Linked DNA regions of Rattus norvegicus. The protein of the gene in region 3 interacts with the protein of the main gene of each other region in a pairwise test. Links are inferred from orthologs where the notes say so. Each region holds a gene or a part of one and is shown on either strand. Other genes may lie near its edges.

Region 1 (4,567 bases), on a different chromosome or scaffold from region 3:
GACCTTTTCTAATGTAATTCTGAGTGTTGCCCTCGATATGTACGAATCTCATGTCAAAACAGAGCCAAAGCAGTTCTGGAAGCAGAGCAGCATCGAGGTGAAGCAGGGTGATGGTGTCGGATCACACTCGGCAGCTCTCCTGTTCCAAGCAGCATAACCGGTGGCCACTCCTTGTCAAAGTGTCCTTCGCTGAGTCTTAGGCAAATGTGTCCCTTAGTGTGTTTCTTGAAGATTTTTACTGCCTTCTGGACTTTGTTTTTTCGATCCATTTTCTGAAGATTTTTTTTTAATGTTTATTTATTTATTTTATGCATGTGAGTACACTGTCGCTGTCTTCAGACACACCAGAAGAGGGCATCGGATCCCATTACAGATGGTTGTGAGCCACCATGTGGTTGCTGGGATTTGAACTCAGGACCTCTGGAAGAGCAGTCAGTGTTCTTAACCACTGAGCCATCTCTCCAGCCCTGAAGATTTATTTTTCCGTGTATGAGTGTTTGCCTCCTACATGAATACATGTGCACACCATATTTTTTGTGCTTGGTGGCTAGGGAGGCCAGAGAGGGCAACAGAGCCCTGAACTGGAGTTACAGAGGCTCGGGAGCCACTGTGTGGGTGCTGGGAACTGAACCCTCAAGGGCAGCCAGTGCTCTCACCACCCAGCCATCTCGATAGACCCAAGGATGTATTATTTGTTTTTTAAATTTTGTGTGTCTGTGTGTGTGCGTGTGTGTGTCCGTCTGTCGGTCATATATGGTGTTATGTGCTCATAAGTATAGGTGTCTAAGGAGGTCAGAAGTGTTGGATCCTCTGGGTAGAAGGCCTTAGAAATGGGGGCCCTTTAGGCACAGCCTGCTCTGCTGTCCACTGCAGCCTTGCCTTGCTGCCAGGGAGATAAGTGGAGGGAGGGTTTTAGTGATGTTTTTACCCCTTTGTGGTCCAGTTCCACGTATTGTATACTGTAGACTCTCAGGTGGCTGCTTCTCTCTGTGAAGTCTGGGAGAGAATCACCAAGCTCAGACTTTTTTTCTCTCGGCTGGCAGAGTTAAAAAGAGGGGGCTTTTCTTTTTTCTTTTTTTTTTTTTAAAGATTTATTCATTTATTATATATAAGTACACTGTTGCTGTCTTCAGACACACCAGAAGAGGGCATCGGATCTCTTTACAGATGGTTGTGAGCCCCCATGTGGTTGCTGGGAATTGAACTCAGGACCTCTGGAAGAGCATTCAGTGCCCCTAACCACTGAGCCACCTCTCCAGCCCAAGAGGGGGCTTTTCATTTTGAGACTCAGTGCCATATGCATGGACAGTTAACGTCACCCAGCGCCCAACAGTACCTAACATTCTACTCTGATGGCTACTCTGGCTCCCACTGGCCTAGCGGATCAACCTTGACACCTCAGTAGTCTACGGTTAAGGCTTGGTTCTTGCTTATGTGTGTCCAACATGGAGGAGGGCAGGCAAATGGAAGGCAAGCTGTGGTCCACCTAGTCGCTCAGTGACTCAGGCAGAGGGAAGCCCTGAGCCTGGAACCTTGCAGGTCACGGTGAGCAGGATGGGCCATGGGGCAGCTGTCAGCATGGTGTGGCTCCCTCACTTCCCTTAGCTCAAACTGGTCAGGTGGTTTCACCTGAGTTCAAGAGTGCCAGGAAGTAAGAGAGTGCGTGGGAGCCGATAAGCCCGATAAGCCCGGCTCTCTGCTCCTCTGTCTGCTCCTCGAGAGCAGCGGCTGGGGGTGGCGTTCTCTGAAGATGGACGGGTGTGTTGGTGGTTGTGAGTTATGATACTGTATGCCAAATGCTAATGAAGGTGGTCAGGCATGTCACCCTGCTCAGCAGTGCCGTCCCCTCTCTTGAAGCTTCATCAAAGAACGGTCGAAAGTCAACTCAGTTCCTCTGAAGAACAAGAAGGCCTCCAGTTTCCACGAGTTTGCCCGGAATACCAGTGACGCTTGGGACATTGGCGATGATGAGGAAGAGGACCTTTCCTCACCGTCTCTCCAAACCCTGAACTCGAAAGTGGCTTTGGCCACTGCAGCCCAAGTCCTGGAAAACCACAGCAAGCTGAGGGTGAAACCGGAACGGTCGCAGTCGACAACATCGGACGTCCCTGCCAACTACAAGGTCATAAAGTCCAGCAGTGACGCCCAGCTGTCCCGAAATTCCAGTGAGTCCATCCTGCCCTTCTGTATCCTCTCAGTGGAGCTCGGCTACAGAGAAGAGTTCCCTCCTGCCCAGATCTTCTATGGCAGGAGGATGCACAAAAACAAAAACACTCAGCCAAAGGTCTGACGCCAGCACACTGGCTGTCCCCGCCCTTCCCTATGGCCTTCGCCAACACTCTCCCCCTTGTCCCTTTCCCTGCAGTGGCAGCCACACATTTCCCGTTGCTCTAGGCCTGGGCAGGTTTACAAATACTAGATGTGTTTAAAGGTGCCAGGGAATGAATTCACAAATAGTCCGCCTCCTCAGCCCTGGGGAGTGGCCGCCCACCTCAGGAGGCCCTTTTCCCATTTCTGTGATGCAAACAGCGTGTACTGAGGGACCAGGTCAGAGCCCCTGACATCAGCCCGCCCTGCAGCCCTGCAGGTTTTGTTTTGTTTTTCTAATTTGGGAAGCTGGCCTCAGTTCCTGCTGAGGGAGATGGTGACTTTAGATGTCTGGGCACTTTCTGTGTACATTTTTAAGGACCCACTAGTGTTGCTTTACAAATAAACCGGCCACTCCGACCTGGGCAGGGAAGTGCCCTCCCTCATCCTAGCTACAGTTAATAAGCTCACAGGCCATGGGCATAAAGGACAGAGGATGTCAGAGCCTCAGAGGATCCTACCTCAGCTTCCCTAAGTTTCTTCAACAGCCTCAGACCTCACACAAGGCCATGCAGTTTGGCCGTGGAGTCTTCACTGAGATTCCCCCCTGTGTGTCTACTGAGACGGGCCCAGCTTGAACCCACAGTGCCAGTCTCAGACAGGCATTCAGCACTGATTGGCCAGGTGGCCTAAGCTATGGATGAGGTTCTCAATGTCAGGAAGGCCCCTGCCTCGATCCCTGCAGGCTGCCCTGTGCAGCCAGGCCCCCCACGTGTCCCCCTGTGGAGGTTCCTTCTGCACATCTGCCTGTAAACAGCTGATGCCGGAGATGCCCATCTGCCTAAGTTTATTGCATGCATTCTGCATTTTCTCAGCCCCACTTGTCACCGTAGGCATCCCAGTCAGGTGCCTTATGGCGGCTGTCGCAAGCTTCTGCAGTGCTGGCCTGTGGAATATATTCATTTTAGGTATTGAGGAACATGACCCAGCCCTAGCAGGGCAGTCCCTGAAACAGTTTTCTTTGTGGCAGCTCATTCTGAAGGGCGCTGGAGTCAGACAGCCTGGAGGCCCCCCTCCACCGCCCCAGTTTCTCAAGTTCCTAGGCTGACTTTGTTCTTCTGTAAAGTCACTAAAACTTTTAGCAGGTGTCGTAAGGGATCATGGGAGCTCATGCTGAAATGGCGGGCACGGCCCCCTCTAGGTGGCAGGCACCAGCTGAGTTAGACCATCTACAGTGGAACAGAGTCCAGCTTCCCCTGCTTTGGTGGTAGCAGCAGAATTCAAAGCTGCTTCATTTGTGTGAGGAACATGGAGCAGAGGAGCTGGCTACTTGGCACGGGGTTGCCTGAGGCCAGAGCTTCCTATACACCTTGAAGGGCTCCTGTGGGCCAAGTGCAGGCCAAGGTTGAGCCTGGCTGTGAGGGCAGCCATGTGCCTAGCCAGAGGGTTGTACACAGGGCCACGGCCTAGCCCTCCACACTCTGCTTTAGCTGTCACGGCCTAGCCCTCCACACTCTGCTTTAGCTCTGTGGCTACCGCACTCACCAGGTTAAGGCAGCTTAAGATCCAGGGTAGGATAGAAAGTTTCGTCTCCCTTGGTGTTACCACGTACATTCTTAGAAGTCACAGCGACATCTGGGGTCAGCTGGCCACAGTTGCCCTCTGTGGTACAGGTGCAGTCCCTCTGTTTGGAAGCAGAGCCCTGCGGACCTCATTGTCTCACTGTTTCTCAGCTCCAGCCTCAGGAGTGCCACAGGCTCAGGTCCCGCCCCGGAGAAAGCACTGCACAGTCTGCGCAGACCTGGGGCATCTGACGGCGACCTTCCTATGTAGGTCTTTCTCCTTTTCAAATCCCTTCAGGTGACACGTGCCTGAGGAACACACTCCACAAACAACAGTCTCTCCCTCTCCGGCCCATCATCCCCCTCGTCGCCCGGATCTCAGACCAGAATGCTTCTGGGGCCCCTCCAATGACAGTCCGGGAGAAAACCCGCCTCGAAAAGTTCCGCCAGCTGCTTTCAAGCCACAACACTGACTTAGGTGCGTTCCCCAGGGCCCTGGGCAGAGTTAGGCACTGTGGTGACTGGTTCTCAGAGGTCGGACATATCTACCGGCTTCCTTCTTTTGCTTGTCCTAGTCAGGTGCCAGAGCAGCGATGCACAGAGTTTAGTCAGAAGCCTGTTGTCGGACATTAGGGACTAGAGTGAATGGGGCCTGCAGACCGTGGGGCGCCCGTGCCAGCGCTGTCTGCTGCCTCCAG
Region 2 (4,567 bases), on a different chromosome or scaffold from region 3:
AGCAGACAGGACGGCAGCCTTTGCCCATGGGTAGAAAGACTCAACAACACCAGGAAGTCAGTTTTCCCAGAATTTACTTATAAATACTTTAATAAAAACAATCAAGTATCCAGGAAACACTGATGTTTTAGACTAAAAGCCCTGAGGGCTGTCTTGTATTTATCTCACATTAAATCATTCCACAGAATCCCCATAACTAAAAATGTGATTTATTAACACTTAATAGAGATTAGCAGAACAGACAGAAATCAAGAGACAAACCCAAGTGCACATGGGGATTTAGCGTACGTCATCCTAAGCCTGTGACTGGAGTAGTGACGGGCTCTATGTGAAATGGTCCCAGCCAAGCCTGTGCTCAGTACATCCCTCCTACAGGGAGGTATTTTTGAGAAAGATAACGTGAGACCTTATACCGTCTACATAAAATAAACTCCAGGTTCAAAGGACGAGCAGAAGGAAACAAGCACAAAAGAATCCCTCCATGAACTAGGCAGGCAGGGAGACCACAGTAACAAGAAAGAAAGACTTAGTAAGCCACGCTGTGAAAAAACTTTTAAATATTTGCATGATCAAACATGACTGATAATTCACTTTTTGAATGTACTTTAAAGGAACTCTCTTGTCTCCCAAAATGTGAGCTTAAATCTACCACAAAAGTAATGCCGTTTTACCTAAATAAGCCATTATAGATTGTCACTTGAAAGTGCGGTGGAGGGAAGAGCTTGACATGAGAGTGAGGGGAGCTGTGCTTCACGTCAGTGCTGGCCCCCACTTTATTTACCTTCTTTAGCTTCATGTGCGCTCCGTTGTTGTTTCCCTGAGCCAGGTCTGCCCTGCCCAGGATCCGGTATGTTTCTGCCACCTCAGGACTGAAGTCACCGAACACTCCTATTTTTGCTTCCAGGGACTCTCTCAGGATCATGGCCGCTCTCTGAGAAAAGGACGAAATTTGGTGGTGCGGTTAAAAGTTCAGAGGATTGCTCAGTGCTTAAAGGCACTCGCTGCTGCTGCTGAGGACCCAGGTTCAGCACCCGCAGGTAGCTTGCAAGCTTTGTAACTCCACTTCCCGGGGATCCATTGCCCTGCTCAGGCCTCTGCCAGCATCAGGCGTGCAAGTGATACACAGATACACATGAGGCAAACACTTGTACACATACAAAGATAGAAATAAGGGCCTGGAGAGACGGCTCAGCGGGTAAAAGCACTCTGCTCTTCTGGGGACTGGGGTTCAGTTCCCAGCCCCTACATGGCAGCTCACAACCATCTGTCACTTCAGTTCTAGGGGATCCGACACCTTCACATAGACTTACATGCAAGGCAAAACGCCAATGTACATAGAAAAAAGGAATTATTAAAAAAAAAAAAGAAAGCAATCTTTACAAAAGTTCAGGGATTGAAGTAAGAGCTGTGCCCCTCTCAGGAAAAGTCATGAAGTTGATACACATTTGACATCTCAGAGAAAAGTGTTCTTAAGAATGGGCCACTGTCCTCTGGTTAGATAGGAGGAAGTAAGGACATACTCGGGGAGGGAAAGTACAAAACATGAAGGAAGAAAGCAGCAAGGACACGGCAGCGACAGCTCTCACTAGAACCGGTTCCATTGAGCGGCAAGAGCAGAGCTAGCCTGCATAGAGCCCTGATGTTTTCATGGACTCACTTTATGTGTGATCTGACTTGTTCTTTAGATACATACAGCCTCCACCATCTGACCCAGGAGGAGGCCGGAGCAGCAGCAGAGACCCTCTTTGTTCCTGCAGGGCTCGTCATTGCTGGGGCTGGGACCTGCTCCCCCGGCCTTTTTAGGTGCACACTCGTCTCCCTCCACACTGTTGTTCTCAGACATGAGAAGATGGGGCTGCACTTGTGGGTCATGCTTCCGGACTTTCTGTTCTCAGAGAAGGCTTAGGAAGCCAAAAGTAAACACTCCTCGGGGCATGATAAACCATTTTGTTTGCTTTGTCCTATTTGTTTATGCCAACACGGAATAGAAAAATGTATGTTGGTCAGAAAACAGTATTTCCTGATATTGATTTTTGCAGATACCAAGATACAGAGGGGGAAGTCTGTGAAGTTCCAACAGGTCCCGAAAGTCTCCCCAGATCCTCTACATGAAAACAGTCTCTAAAGACAAAACAAAACAAAACCCCACGGTCAATAACAACATGATTATGACTGCACAACACAAATGCTCAGTTCAATAGCCCAATTAAGGCAGCACGGAAGAAAGGCCTTTGCGTTGCACAGCCCTGGGGGCATGTGCTGACCTGTGCCACAGACAGGCAGAGAGGCGTGAATGAAGAACATGGCCCCATTTGTCAGCAGGAACATGAGTCAGGAACTGGGGCCAGTTCCTTAGGAAAAAAAACTTTTTTTTTGGTTCTTTTTTTTCGGAGCTGGGGACCGAACCCAGGGCCTTGCTCTTCCTAGGCAAACGCTCTACCACTGAGCTAAATCCCCAACCCCAGGCCAGTTCCTTAAACGTGGCGATGAGCAGAAGTCAATTCAGTGTAACTGGCCAAGTATGGTCTGTGAGAGCGCATGAGGGATGGGGGTCTCCATGCGGACCGGCCTGTGCCCCTGCTCCTGACACCTGTGTGCGAGGCCTTAGATGGGTGCGAGAGTTGGGTGAGGTGGCTTCTCCATGGGATTTGACTGTGGAGCTTTGGGAACCCAATCAATGGCAGTGAGACAGGCTCCAGATTCTTTCCCTGAATGAAGCCTTTAGTGCTGTTTCAGTCTGACTAGGAAAACTAGAGATAAGGTTGTGTATCAGAAGGCACATTCTGATGACAGAGGAAAACAGACAGGAAAAACTTAATGGAGAGAACCAAGAACTATTGGGACTTAGAAGAGAAAAGGTTATGGGCTCTGGAATGCCCAGGAGAAGCACGCAGCCTATGTAGGGGCGATTGAGGAGATAACATGGCATGTAGGGAGAAGAGGGAGACTAGGTTGATTAGCTTCTGTCAGGGACAAATGTCTGGATCTTCTCCCAGAATATCTCAGTCTGCAGCAGAGTGGCCTTTACTTACTGTTTACTATAAAAATAATTTCCTTCTAGAGCCTGCCTTGCTGCTAGTGCAAGCTAGCTTGTGGATAGGCCGTAATCACATCTGGGATGGTCTAGGTGCAACCCCATCCTCATTTGTGTCAGGCTCCTTGGGTCAGCCAGCCTAGCCTACTTGGTGACACTTCTGCTACATTCCCTGGTGACAGGGCTGCCAGCCTGGGTAAGGAGCACGAAGCCATCATGTATGGCTGGGCAGTCTGTTTCACTGCAGGGGCGCCCAGCAGGAGAAGGAGAGCTTGGGTCTCTCAACAAGGTACCCGGATTTGTTTCATGCACCTAAGGAAGGGGCAGCTTTTGTATCCTTGCAAGGACATATAAGGGCTGGAAATAGTTCTGGAAGGAAGGAGTCAGGTTGCTACGATTTCCAAGGGCAGTCTGAGAGAGTGAGGCACATCTTTTAATCGAGACTCCCGGTTTCTGTGACTTGGGCAAAGTCAATGAGACATGTTATCAGTGACACTGGGCGTCAGCTGCCTCTGTAGTCAGACAGGAAGGATGGGAACTCATGAGACATGAGTTGTGGGAGTTAGAGTCAGCTGGCCCACAACCAAGCATCCATTCCAAATCTGTTCACTATCTATCGTGAGCAAGAACTCAGCTTGGTTCTACGAACAACATTAAATATCCATGTAAATTTACACTACATATACCTGACTTCACCAATGGGATTCTGTAAGGAGGACTCAGAAGAGTCCAATGTGGGCAAGGGTGTGAAAGCAGAGAGCTGGAGGGCATATTACACTAGCCTGGAATGACGCAGGGAGGGCCTTCCAGGAGGAAATAAAAGAAGAGACCAGCTATAAAGATGTGTATGTGTGTGTGTGCATGAGTGTGTGCATGTGTGTGTGCACGTGCGTGTTTTAGAAAAAGTCAGTATGGGCTGGAGAGATGGCTCAGTCTTTGTACTTTCAAGCACGAGGGTCTGAGTTCAGTCCGTGGAACCCACATAAAAATGCTGGGTGTGGCAGCAGGCACCTGTAATCACAGAACTAGGGAGGCAAAGAGAAATGGATCCCCGGGGCTTGCTGGTCAGCCAGTCTAGCCTACTTGGTGAGTTGCAATACCCTGTCATAAAGGATGTGTCTGGGCTTCCTGAGGATGGCATCTACAGCTTGTCCTCTGGTCTCCACATGTGTGCCCATGCACCTGTACACACACGATTGTGTAAACCCACACCTGCCTTAAGATTTTTAAAAAAGCTTTGATTGCAGGCAATTAGCTTAGGGAAGGAACAAAGTGAGCCTAGAAGTGTGGGGTTTGCCGTGAGGGCATTGCACTCACTGGAGGGCCAACGAGTGTCCATCGATCAGATGCGCTAGACTGAATAGACAGACAAGTGCAAGACAGGACGAAGCCCCTGGGGAAGAGAAGGTGCCACAGTGGTCCTGACAAGAGATGAAGCCTGGCAGGAGGGGAAGGGTTAAACCAGGTGTCTATTAAGGAAACCTGGAAGTGAGTGAGGAAGCTTCAAAGTTCCCATAGGACCGAGATAGCGTC
Region 3 (5,164 bases):
ATGCAATCTAGGCCCCAAGACAGAGAAATCCAGGCCTCTAGTCCCAAACAATAGCAAGTTTAGATGCTCAGAATAAAAGGAACCCTGAAGAGGACAATGGAAGGAGAAATTCTGGGGTGTTGGCTACTCAGTGAAGGAGCAGAAGACAGATGGGGCATACACACATGCTATGATGTCCTAACTTAGCCCAATCGTTGCCTTCAAATATGCTGTACCAAGAAACCTGGAGGCCTAATCTCAGTGAAGCTAAGATCCACTGAGGAGGTGGGAGAGGCAGCCTGGCAGTTGCTAGCACACGCTGCTCTTTCAGAGGGCTAGAGTCTGGTTCCCAATACCTACATAATCGCTCACAAACACCTACAACTCCAGCCCCAGGGCACCTAAGACACTCTTCTGGCTTCCATGGGCACCTGTATGCACAGGCATGTGCACACATATGGATGGCAAATAAATATTTAAAAACAATAGCCTGTATGGGGCTTGTGGTATAGGTCAGTGGCAGGATGCATGCACACAAGGCCCTGGTTAACCACAGCACCAGAGGAAGGAAGAGGGGGGAGGGGAATCTGTGCTCAACTCATTTCCTCACACTGTGATAAGGAGGGAGAACTCTTACTCTTCTACTTTAAAGATTTATGTTGTGTGTATGTATTTTGCCTGCATGCATGGTGTCCATGGGGGTCAGAAGGGGGCATCAGAGCCCCTGGAACTGGAGTTACAGATGGTTGCGAGCCACCACGTGGATGCTGGGAACTGGACTTGGGTTGGTTGGGAGAGCAACAAATGCTCTTGACCACCGAGTCCTCTCTTCAGCCCCAGACAGTTATCTTTTCCTCTTTTGAGACGGGTCTTACTCTACAGGTATACAGGTATACTTGCTACATAGAGCAGGCTAGCCTCCAGCCTGTGGTGCTCCTTCCTCGCTGGATCCCAGGCTGGCTCCTGGCAAGAAGTGTATTCCTGGTGTTCCCATCACAGATTGCCCACCAGGAGAGCCAGCTCTGAGGAATCCAGGTTACTTCATCTGTGAGGTCCGGTGTCTGTACATGTGAGTTCTGTTCCTTCATTCTCCCTGACCTCTGATGCAGTCATAAACTACTCAGACCTCTACCAAGACACAGAGCCAGGAGGCAAGCCTAGGAACTTATAAAGGACTCTGGTTTATTTATTTAGTTAGTTGGTTAGTTAGTTAGTTGGTTAGTTAGTCAGTCAGTTGGTTAGTTAGTTGGTTAGTTAGTTAGTCAGTTGGTTGGTTAGTTGGTTGGTTGGTTAGTTAGTTGATTAGTTAGTTGGTTAGTTAGTTAGTTGGTTAGTTAGTTAGTTGGTTAGTTAGTTGGCTAGACAGCGTCTTATGCAGCCCAAGCCAGCCTTAACCTCCCAAGGGCTGGGTTTGCAGCCGTGCTCAGCTCTTCTGTTTTTGCGTTGGAGATGTGTAGATAAAATAGTGCTGTGACTTCACCTAGTTATGCTTGGCCTCATGACCACAGACACCCAGGCATTTCTGGGAAGTACAATTTTGTTTCTGCCGTCTGTCTGTCTGTCTGTCTGTCTGTCTGTAAGTCGCCTGGATACCATTTATCTCCTACTAGGTCAGGAAGGATCACCGGTGTGAAACTGGAGAGAATGTTCCTGCTGTGGCCCACTGTGTCTTATCAGACCCCTCAGGGACAGAGGGCTCTGCCTCAAATACACACAGTTCTGTTGGTATGGAAGGATTTCTCACCGGTTTACCAACAATTTTTTTTTTTTTTTTTGGTTCTTTTTTTCGGAGCTGGGGACTGAACCCAGGGCCTTGTGCTTGCTAGGTAAGCGCTCTACCACTGAGCTAAATCCCCAGCCCCAACAATTTTTAATTTTAGTTTTCTCTTTCTTATTTACTTTTTGAAACGGTCTTGTTTTGTTGCCCAAGTTGGATCAGAATTCACTATGTAAATAAGGTGACACTTGCTAGCATGGCAGCGATGTCTCTAATCCCAGTACGAGAGAGGCAGAGGCAAGAGGATCTTCTGTGAGTTCAAGGTCAGCCCGGTTTGAATAGTGAGCTTCAGGACAGCCGCCAGGGTTACAGAGACCCTGACTCAGAAACAAAACCAAACAATGACAATCCCCTTGTTTTAGCCTCCCAAGTGCTCGAATTACAGGCATACATACACCACCACACCAGGTTATTGTTTAAAGTGTGTGTGTGTGTGTGTGTGTGTGTGTGTGTGTGTGCGCCTGTCTGTCTGTGTTCATATAAGTGAAGGTCAGAGGTCAACTTTTGTGAGTCAGTTCTCTCTTTCCATCATTTATGTTTTGGGAATCAAACTCAAGTTGAGGTCTGGTAGCCACACTAGCTAACACACACACACACACACACACACACACACACACAGAGAGAGAGAGAGAGAGAGAGAGAGAGAGAAAGATCTCAATATATCCTTGATCTTTTCTCCAGAGTTTGTTTAAAAAAATTTATCTCTCTCTCTCATATGTGTGTGTGTTTGTATATGTATATGTATATACATATACATATAAAAGCCTCAAAATGAATGAAATCTAGTCCAAGCTCCCACTAAGCCCATGCGAGACCATCGATCTTCCTTTCCAGTTTCTGCTGTGCTGGGTGGACCCCACTTTCTAGTTGCTGTAGACACAGGTTATGCTTACCAGCCTCAGGGTAGCTGCTGACTCATGCTGACTCTGGGACCTTACTCTGGGACCTTACTCTGGGACCCTCAACTCTCCTGCCTCTCAGCCAGGGCAGTTTCACCGGCTCCCAGGGGTGGGCTCTCCCCCACCATCCGCCACCTGTCCCCCACCTGTCCCCCACCGTCCCCCACCGACCCCCACCATCCCCCACCTGTCCCCCACCATCCCCCACCTGTCCCCCACCATCCCCCACCTGTCCCCCACCACCCCCCACCTGTCCCCCACCATCCCCCACCTGTCCCCCACCTGTCCCCCACCGACTCCCACCGTCCCCCACCGTCCCCCACCATCCCCCACTTGTCCCCCACCTGTCCCCCACCTGTCCCCCACCGACCCCCACCTGTCCCCCACCATCCCCCACCTGTCCCCCACCTGTCCCCCACCGACCCCCACCTGTCCCCCACCGTCCCCCACCTGTCCCAGCCCACCTGGAAGACGTCGTTGGCACACTTGCGGCACAGGTTGTGTTGGCACGGCAAGATCACCACGGGCTTGGAGAACATCTCCAGGCAGATGGGGCAGATGAGCTGCTTCTCCAGGTTGTCCATGTTGTGTGCATCCCCCAGCAGCGGCTTGAAACCCACCGTGAAGTTCATCCCGCGGTGCTCTGGTGCCTTGCTGTGGCCCTGTTGCTGGCCTTCTCTCCCCCTGCCTGCGCGCCCTTCCGCTGTCAGTTTAGGCTGACTGTAGATTCTTGGGATCCCTGATATTGCTCCCTCTGGAAAGAGCGGTGCTTCCTGTCCCTTCCTCTAACAGCTCCTCTCTCCCTGGGCTATTTCCAGACACTCTGTCTGCTCGGAACCCTCACCAGGCACTTGTAGTTTATCTCTCTCTCCCTGTGAGATTCTCCTCCTGTCTCCCCAAACCACCCTCTTGCTCGCTCTGCGGGCAGCACTGTTTGTTCCTCCCGAGAGAGACTAATGTTACTGTGGGGGTGGGGACACAGGGGCACCGCTGTGACATTCCAGTTCCCAATTTAGCTCATGTAAGGCGAGACACAGCTGTCCCAGACTGAGTGGCCATGACTGTCAGGAATGGGTGGCCAGTGGCGTGTGGGGCTCTATCGCTGTCACTGAAAAGGCTCCTCCGAACACTGGTCTCCGTGCTCTGGCTTGGGACCTTCTTCCAAACAGAAACGCAGTGTAAACTAGCCTGTGGGAGAGGTGCCATACCTGGGCCCAGGTGGGGGGCAAGACCTGGACAGACCTGTAGACTGCGTCATCGCTTCCTCTACAGGCTTAGCCAGTGACCCGGCCCTCCTCCATGATTCAGAAGTGGAACGGCAGACCAGAGAGAGAGAGAGAGAACATCTTGTTCCATATGTCTGCCCCGTATTTGTTCTTGCCCAGCCTTTATATAAAAAAGCAACCCTACACTTATTTACTTAGGGGGAATGGTGGGTGCAACCTGGAGCACAAGTGGAAGTCACAGGACAAAAGAAAATTCTTTTTCTGCAGCATGTGCCAGAAATCCAACTCAGGTCCTCAGAACTGGTGACAAGTGGCTTTCCCCAGAGAACAATCTCTTCCTTCTCCCTTATTAAAGACAGGTTCTTGAGTAGGACAGGCTAGCTTTGAACTCATTCTCGCCATGGATGACCTTGAACTCCTGATCCTCTTGCCTCTACATCCGATGTGCTGGGTTGAGGGGAAAGCACCATTATCCCCATTTATGTGGTGCTGGGGGTCAACTCGGGGTCTCAAGCATGCTGGAGAAGCATTCTGCTAACTGGGCTACGTCACCAGCCCTTGGCTCGCCCTTGTGGCATCATCCTAGGAGAGCAGCTCAAAGGCAAGAGGTGGCTGCTGTACCAGGCCCAGACCTGCCTTAGGATTATGACGTGAGAGCGTGTGATTCTGGTCCACAACTACATTAGTCCATTGCAAGGATGCTAAATTTGCTTAAACCTGAAACAAGCATAGACTGGTGATGCCTCAGTGACCGGGAGAGCCTGCTGTTCAATCATGAGGACTGGAGTTCAAATCCCAGCACTCATACCCATCTGTAATAGTAACTCCAAGAGACTCAGCGCCCTTCATGGGCTCACAGACACGTGCACATAGACATTTACACGGACACATGCATGCAGATGCTCACACAGACACACATAAAGAAAAAGAAAAAAAAAGTTTTGAGAAATGGATCTGACTGGAAAAATTCTGCATCTTGGAAAGTTATTTGTACCCAAGCGAATCGCTCTGCAGAGAGGTCATAGGACACTGCCAAAGCCACCACCATCAGGCTCTGGGCATCATTGACTCCCAGCTCCACAGTGACCACAGTACTCACCATGCCAGCCTCATCCCAGGCATGAGAGCTAGTCATTGGTCTCTTTCTATCCCACACACACCGGAATTGGACAAAGCTTTTTTTTTTTTATTATTGATATTCTTTAGCCTTTCTCCCAGTGAGTACAGAGAGGTTTGACGGTTCGTTCCTAGGCTGTGACCCCACATGGGTAAGAAAGAAAAGA

The links.
Region 1: the proteins of Trim54 (region 3) and Tbc1d22b interact in binary tests that used the Homo sapiens proteins (3 or more experiments, as listed by UniProt). The link is inferred for Rattus norvegicus from reciprocal best matches to the Homo sapiens genes TRIM54 and TBC1D22B.
Region 2: the proteins of Trim54 (region 3) and Ttc23 interact in binary tests that used the Homo sapiens proteins (3 or more experiments, as listed by UniProt). The two-hybrid records come from large-scale screens. The link is inferred for Rattus norvegicus from reciprocal best matches to the Homo sapiens genes TRIM54 and TTC23.

What each region holds. Positions count from the first base shown.
Region 1 is NC_086038.1:7,637,173-7,641,739, forward strand, and holds part of Tbc1d22b (TBC1 domain family member 22B), read left to right. Parts: intron 1-1,857; coding exon 1,858-2,165; intron 2,166-4,167; coding exon 4,168-4,347; intron 4,348-4,567. UniProt on the Homo sapiens protein: May act as a GTPase-activating protein for Rab family protein(s).
Region 2 is NC_086019.1:130,720,764-130,725,330, reverse strand, and holds part of Ttc23 (tetratricopeptide repeat protein 23), read right to left. Parts: exon of another isoform or gene 1,686-4,567; intron 1,038-1,685; exon of another isoform or gene 932-1,037; coding exon 782-931; intron 1-781. UniProt on the Homo sapiens protein: Participates positively in the ciliary Hedgehog (Hh) signaling.
Region 3 is NC_086024.1:30,975,005-30,980,168, forward strand, and holds the start of Trim54 (tripartite motif-containing protein 54), read right to left. Parts: upstream 3,472-5,164; 5' UTR 3,288-3,471; coding exon 3,120-3,287; intron 1-3,119. UniProt on the Homo sapiens protein: May bind and stabilize microtubules during myotubes formation.